Notamacropus eugenii: one gene and its partner. The protein of the gene in region 1 interacts with the protein of each later gene in a pairwise test. Links are inferred from orthologs where the notes say so. Each region holds a gene or a part of one and is shown on either strand. Other genes may lie near its edges. The genes, in order: FLII and LRRFIP1.

Region 1 (3,909 bases):
TCAAAATTTTAAAAAATGAATGTTAAAAGTTTTTGTTTACATGTAATTGAGAAAAAATAAAATCATAGGGGAAAACGGGGTGGGGGGAAAGAGCCTACTATGTGCCAGGCACAGTGCTAAGTGCTGGGGATAAAAAAAGAAGGAAAAGATAGTTCCTGCCCTCAGTCTAATACTGCCTCTTTAACTAATGGTGGTATTTCTGGTAAGAGTGGGTCTTCCCAGTACCTCTGATACATCACAAGCTCACTGATCTAGAGCTCGAAACAATTTCAGGGGTCATTTAATCCACTCCCCTCATTTTACAGTTGAGGAAATTGAGGCCTAGAGAGGTTAACTGATTTGTCTAAAGTCAGTAGCAGAGCCAAGATTCGAACCCCAAACCTTTAACTCCAAATTCAGTGCTCTCTCCACTATGCCACCCCACTATCCTTTACATTTGGAAAGACAGAGTCAATATTTAAAAACAAAAACACTTTTGAAGTCTTCAGCTCTCTGGGACAGAAAAAAACTCTGAGAGATCCTTATAGACATTCCTCTGATTCTATCCCTATTATCACTGAACCTTCAAGGCCTCCAGAGACCTAACCCTAGCCCTCTACTTTTAGAAATTCCACACACCAATGAGGTTAGATCCTGAGTCAATTTCTAAGAAAGGCATATTTTTTTCAGTTCCCCTCTGATGCTTAGCTCCTGCTCTGCCCCACTCTCAGAAAAGAACATGACTGTTAAACATTACAAAATAAAAAAAAAAAAAAAGAACATGACACAATACTCAGAGATCCCAGACCAACCTCCCAGATCCATCCACACAGATCTTGGGACTCATACATATATGCATATTCTCCAGCACCTCCCCAACACACAAACGTTGACATACATATATACTCTTTTTCTTCAAGTCTCTCAAAGCTCAAGACTGGGGGAAAATGCATCACCAGATCCCAACTGTGAGTCATATTAATATTTTAATACTTAACATCCCAGGAACGGAGATCATTTCACTCAGAGGCTGGAAGGCCTCTAAGATGGCCCTTACACGTTCCTGCCTAATGGGCTGACAGATGATTATCTCAGGGGGGAAAGAGAAAAATGTGTCTGTGCAAAGACTGAACCACAGACTATCAGAGAAAGAAGAGACCTCAGAACCCCTGTGACCCACAGAGGAGGAAATGATTGAGGCCCAGGGATTATAAACAGGTCTCTTCACACACAATAATATCCAATCCCCTGCATTGGCCATACCTACTTCTTCCCAGCTTAAGGCCCTGATTTATCAATCAATCGATTGGTCAGCAAGCAGTTATCAAGCACCTGTGTGCTAGCCAAGCAAAAATGAAACCTCCCTTCCCTTAGAGTTTACATTCTATCTGGTTATCCAGGATATTTTCTTGACTTCCCAAGAATCTCTGATTAAGTTCCCTGAGTAGACTCAGCACCTGACAAATTGATTTTTGTCCTAGGTAATATGATGCAGATGAACTAAGAGTCTGGACTCATTTTAAAAGTAGGGGTGATGGTGGGAAGTGTCCTTAAAAGGTCACTTGGTCTCTCATTTGGGGGTGAGGGCTGAGGATGACTGAAGCAGGACAACAGGTCTAAGAGGGTCCCATTTAAAAGAACTCTTACCAAGTGAAGTTACTTAAGCAGAACCAGAGGGAGCTTGGGGGCTCCACAGGGGCCTGGCTGGATGAGAGCCACATGAGGGACAGGAAGAAGGCCTAGACCCTCCTCCTGACGAAACGTAATAGAGCAGTGGGATTTAGCCCTGGGTTGGGAAGTCAAGAGTCTTGGATTCTCTGGGAAGGCTGGTCCCTTCCCCCTTTTACTCTCCAGAGTCTTTCACAGCTCCGATGTTCCATGCTCTCAGCTTGGGTGCTTCCCATTGGATGAGTGGTGCCCGCCCTAAAGGACCGGCTCTGTGGAGCGGGTCCGAGGGGCTCCTGAGCACCCGTGTATCTTAGTGTGAGGGAAGGGAAGGTCACTCAAAACTGGGCGGTTCGGTGGAAAATGCACCCAGTCTGAAGTCCGAGGTCCTGGGTTCCGTTCTAGCTCTATCATTTGCTACCTGTGTGACTCAGGAACAAGTCACTTAAGGCTCTCCCTGGGCCTCAGTTTCCTCATTTGTATCGCACTGGGTTTGGATCCTCCAAGGTGCCCTGCACCCCTAAATCTATGATCCTGGGACCCTTAGGGTACGGAGTATCCGTCCCGCCGCAGGATGGGAGGCAGATCTGGGAAACAGGCAGTTCTCCCCTTGGTCCGGCAGGCCCCTAGTGAAATACACCCACTCCCCGCCCCAGAAGGGGAGCACGGAGGAAGGGCGGAGGGATCATGTCTTTGGGGGGGCCTGAAAACAGTTCCCCAAGCCCTGGGGGTTCGGTGGCCGTGTGGGCGTGCAGCTGGGGGACAGGCCCGGCAGGGGGGCCGCCGGCCCCTCGCCCCCACCCCAAGCCTACCTTAAAGTCGTTTCCGCTGAGGTCCACGCCCCGAATGAAGGGCAGCACCCCGGTGGCGGCCATGGCTGCGGAGGTTGCGGCTGCGGCTTCCCGGAGACTGGAGACGGTTCCTGGGGTGGGGCGGCCGCGGGGCAGGGCCGGTGGGGAGTTGGGGGGCGGGATCAACCGGGCTACCCCGCCCCCAACCCCCGCACCGCCCCTTTAACTCGCGCAGGCCCGGCCCGGGGCGAACCAGGAAGCTGGGAGCTCTAGATTGTGGTCCGAGAGAGGAGGAGCAGCGCAGGGCCTCAGCGAAGGGGAAGGAGCTCGCCCAAAATCCGAGGTGGAATTTGAACCCAGGTCTCTGGCTTCGGGGGACTCTGGAGTCGGGGGCGGTGTCAGTCAGCCTAGGCGCAGGAAAGCTGGTTTTCACATCGGTTTACATTTATATGGGTACGCACCCCATGCAATAAATGCTTAATCCAGGCCTCCTTCCTTCACAAAGAACCATGTAGAACTGCAAAGGACCATGTGGATGAGGAAGTTCAGCCTCCTCTTTTTACAGGTGAAGAAACAGGCTCAGAGGTTATGGAATCGTAGACCCAGAGCTGGAAGTGACCTTAGAGGCCATCTAGTTTACCTCACTTTACAGATGAGGAAACTGAGACCTGGGCCGAGAAATGATTTTCCCAAGATCACACAGGTCCCAGGTGTCAGTGATAGTCTATGAACCACCAAGCCTAGTGCTCCGGAGTACCCTTTGCTAAGGAGTAGAGCCTACAATCTTAACTGACGCCAAACGGGCACCCTTCAATCCCAATTGCTTTTGATATGTACAGACGAAAAGGGAAACAAGCCCAGCGACTCGGGATGTTTGAAGAATCAGCCCTGAGGGGCTTCAGGAACCCAGAGCCCTGGAATCTCCGATAAAGGTGATTCCTTGGGCTCAGGTCCCTTGGGCTGGTTCCCTGAGGCCCAAAATCCCTTTGAGTAGGGGCTTTGGGTCCCTAGGGACTTGTGCTTGTGCCAACCCCAGCACAAAAGAGAGATCCTCATCCCAAAAGGCTGGGGAATATGACTTACCCAGCCCTGAAGGGGTGGGAGTCTCTTTGGCAGAAAGACAAAGGTAAAATGAAACAAAGTTGTCAGATTCTGCAACAATGTATTCATCAGCAAGGGCAGAGGAACCACCACATTCTAACCCAGATACCTCAGTCTCCCATATGTGATTATACTGAAGGAGTAGGAATGATACTTACATTAGATCGTACACAAGTAAAACTGCTTGAAACAATACGATCTTGAAAGCAGTGAGGGCATAACTTGCTTAGATGCTTCAGGGAGAGGAAGATACCAAAAGAAAATGGGGGGAAAAATCAGGTGGTCTTCTTAATGCACCCCAAAAGTGGCTGAGAAACCTCAATTGGTAAGAAGTCATAGCCTTACTTTAAAAAAAAAATACAATCTTTATGAG
Region 2 (3,909 bases), on another chromosome or scaffold:
TGTTAGGACACTTTCACAAGAGAGTGATGGAAATTCTCTACCTTCCTGCTGCCTATCCCATTAGCATACAGCTAGAGTTTTAAAAATGCTTTAAATAAAGCAGCACAGCATGCTGGGAAGACAGATGACTTCAGAACCAAGCGGGAATACCTGGGTTTTAGTCTCTCCTCCAAGAAACAACAACCCAAGTGACTGTGTTCACTTCTCAGTGCTCTAAGCAACTCTGAAGTTCATAAGTTGCAGAGAAGGTGCCAACCTGCATTTTCTTAGCGAGTTTCTATTGCACGACCTTAAAGTTTTCCCATTTTAACTTCTTGGAAAGTTGTTAAAATTTGTTAAAAATGTTGACTGGGATATGAATGCACAAAAAATATGAAATCTCCACACAAAATATTAAAGCAAGCTCAACTTAGTGAAGATTCTTAATGTCCCATACAAGCCTCTCCTCTGCTCTTCAATGTATAAGGACATGCTCACATGCTCCTTTTACTTCCTATTTCCTGTGTCGATATTTTAAAAAATTTGAAATAAAATTAAAGTAAAAACCACAGTTTTCTGCCATTCCCAAGGTGATGGAGAACTCACTGCTCTCCGTCCCCCCCGGGCAGTCCGCTGCACGTTGGGACTGCTCTCGTTGGTCGGATGCTTTCGTGGGCACGCCTGCGGCCCGGCCGCCCATCACTACTGGAGGATGATGGGAAACTCCCTGCCTTTCTCCCGAGGCCTCCCAGCCCGCGGCGCGGTCCCCGGCCCCCCCGGCCCCTATGGCTGACGTCAGGACGCCCAGGCGCGGGGCGGGGCTGGTCGGGGGCGGGGCGGGGCCGGCCGGGGGCGGGGCGGGGGCCAGCTGCGGAGCCAGAGCCGGAGCCTGGGAGCCCGGGGGGAAGGCGGCAGATGGAGATGGGCACTCAGGGCTCCGGGCGCCGCAGGCTCCCCCAGCGGGAGCGCCTCACGGCGGAGGACGACACGCTCAGCCAGATCGCCCGCGAGGTGGGTGGGTGCGCCGGCCGGGGCTGGGGCCGGGGCTGGGGGTCGGGGGCTGGGGCCGGGGCTGACCGTGACCTTCGCCGGGCCGCCTGTGCCGGCCGGGCGCGGGGACACACAAAGAGCCCGCCTGCGGCTTCCCTGGACGTCTAGCTCGCCCGGCCGGAGACTGGGGGCGGCCGCATGGCCTGGAAGGCCCTCTCCAGATCTAAGGTTCTGAGCCCGAGGAGCCGGCGGCGCTTCCATCTCCCCGGTCCTCAGTTTCCCCATTTGTAAAATGAAAGGGCTGAATTAGATGGCTTGGGAGACCCCTACCAGCTTTAAGCCTCTGAGCCCGAGGCCTCAGTTTCTCCCTTTGTAAAATGAGAGGATTTCACTAGAAAGCTCGGGAGGCCCCTTCTAGCTGCAATGTCTCTTAAACTCGCTGGCCCTCTGTTTCCCCATCTCAGAAATGAGAGATTTAGACTAGATGGCCTCTGGGTCCAAATGTGGCTCTCCTTACCACCTGTGTAGTGGAGTGAACAGTGGTTAAATCCAGTTTAGCTCTTTTTAATCTGTACAATTAGAGAGCTGGACCCGATGCCCCTTGGGGTCCCTTTCACCTCTTAAATGCTAGATCCTTTGGGCAGAAGGGTTTGTCTTTGAGAAGAGTGGGAGGCTTGCTGCTAGCTGTCAAGCAAGCAAGCATTTATGAAGTGCCTACTGTGTACCAAACATAGCACTAGACACTGAGGATAAAGAGCGGAAAATCGCTTCCTGCCTTCAATGACCTTGTATTCAGTCTGTCAGTCAACAAGCCTTTATTTAAGGGCTTACTGTGTGCCTGTCACTGTGCTAAACCCTGAGGATACAAATATTAGGAAAAAGAAAGACAGGCCCTGGCCTCTGGGGGCTTCCATTCTGCTGGGAAAAGACTACCCCTAAAAGGGAGGGAAGCTGGCCCGGGACTCTCTAAGTGGATATTCTAGGAGGAGTTGTCCCATCTTCCCACCTAGAGGTGACAAAGCAGTCAATTCTCTTCTATCTGATTGGCTTTCATTCTTATTATCTAATGACTTCGTTATTTATTATTTGATGACTGAGAATACAAAGGCAAAACTGAGGCTGCCCCTGCCCTCAGTTAACCTCATTCCAAGCAGATGCCACTTCTCTAGCCTACAGGACTGGGCACCAGCCTCCCAGGTCATTTTACAGATAAGGAACTGAGGCAGAGGAGGAGGCAAGTGGCTGCCTCAGAACCTCACAGGTAGAGCATTGGCAACCCCATCCCACCTCGTTAGAGCCAACTCATGATTCTAACCTCTGTGAAAAACCCCCTCCTCTGTGAGGCACTGTGGCCTTAGTGAGGTGTTGGCCTCAGAGCCTGGAAGACCCCAGTTCCAGTCCAGCCTGCCTCATCCTGCCTCTGTGACCCTGAGCAGCTCATTCAATCTCTCAGGCAGCTGCTAGGAATATAATTGGTGGAGGAGGCATGGCCTCCCTTGGAGAGGGAGTTCCTCATACCAGTGAATTCACAGGTCTCATAGCTTTCCCCCTGGGAGCTTTTAGCTTCCTTTGCATGTTAGTGGTCTCTCCTCAGATTATCCAAAGTTTACAACAAAGTAAATACTCGAGATCCTAGAATCATAGATTTAAAGCTGTAAGGGACCCTAGGCATGCCCTCCCTCCCCCAGGGCTCCTGGCAAGCCTCAGATGCTTCCTGGACTTTCCTCCTCATGCCTCCTTCCTCCTCTTTCTGATAGGAGTTGGAATGCCAATCTCACATGGAGGGTTGTTTGGGAGAAAAAGGGTACTGGACAACAGAGGAAAAGTGTAGCTAGAGAGACAGAGGTCTCACCGACCTCGAATCCAGTAAGGCTTCTAAAACTGCTTTGAAAGTCACAGAGGGTAGGTTCTGGAGGTAGAAGAACCTGGGTCTAAACTCTGTCTGACTCTTTCTGGCTTTGTGACCATGAGCTAACTGCTCTCCTCTTTAATTCCCCAGGAAACTGGCTAGGCTAAGTAAAAGACCAGTAGCCAATCAGCATTGGTGAAAGGAGTTTTCACACCAGAAAGCCTGTGATGACTCAGGTCTCTTAGACCTGAGTGAGAGTGAGGGCCCTCTGGGCTGCACCACACCCAGCTACCAGCATGGACAGTTGTACTAGGCCAACCTTTCTTCTGCAGGGTGGCCAGAGTGTGGGAGCCCTGAAGAGAAAGAGCTTTGGCAAATGTGACGTGGGAAGGAACAGCTCTCCTCAGGTTCCCATGTGGGGGCCAGGCTATGCCTTGGCCTTCAAGGGCCAGTGATGACTTAGAGGCTTTCATATTGGTCAGGTCTGAAACTATTCCAGCTATACCCTTAGTCTACAACCTGCCTCCCAGTGCTGAGCTGAGCCCGGAATATGGTGATGGTTGCATGCAAGGTTCTTCTCAGACTTTCTAGTGGCAAACTTTTCTTGCTGGAGCTCACGCTTTTGTAGGAGATGTAACCCACTTCTGCGTCATTAAGGCCTTGCTGGGGCCTGTTCATTTCCCTTCAGAATGGTAGCTCCTAATTGAATACTTTTAAAGGGAAATGTTAAAAATATCTATGCCGAGGCCCAGGGGAAGCCTGTGTGCAGGGGCACACATGGGGTCTTTCTTCAGTGTGTTTGTAACTGCCCCTCCCAGCTGTGCAGATTCAGGATTGGGTCATCAGGAGGGGCCACCATGGGTTTCTCTCCAACCCCAGCTCCCCCTGTGATTTTGCTGCGTGCCTAGCACTGTGTGAATGCTCAAACAATTAACAGACAACTCTTCTCTACCCATAAGCATTCATAATCAAGCCTAGTTGTCCTGTTCTAGCTTGGATCTGCTTCCAGTGTGACAATGGAATGCTTTGCGTGTCTTTTCCTCCTCTTAGATGAGGAGCTGAGGGGCAAGGACTGCTTCACATTTGTCTTC

The links.
Region 2: the proteins of FLII (region 1) and LRRFIP1 interact in binary tests that used the Homo sapiens proteins (3 or more experiments, as listed by UniProt). The link is inferred for Notamacropus eugenii from reciprocal best matches to the Homo sapiens genes FLII and LRRFIP1.

The regions. Positions count from the first base shown.
Region 1 is NC_092874.1:335,785,285-335,789,193, forward strand, and holds the start of FLII (protein flightless-1 homolog), read right to left. Parts: upstream 2,594-3,909; 5' UTR 2,520-2,593; coding exon 2,457-2,519; intron 1-2,456. UniProt on the Homo sapiens protein: Is a regulator of actin polymerization, required for proper myofibril organization and regulation of the length of sarcomeric thin filaments. It also plays a role in the assembly of cardiomyocyte cell adhesion complexes.
Region 2 is NC_092873.1:61,352,439-61,356,347, reverse strand, and holds the start of LRRFIP1 (leucine-rich repeat flightless-interacting protein 1), read left to right. Parts: upstream 1-833; 5' UTR 834-894; coding exon 895-990; intron 991-3,909.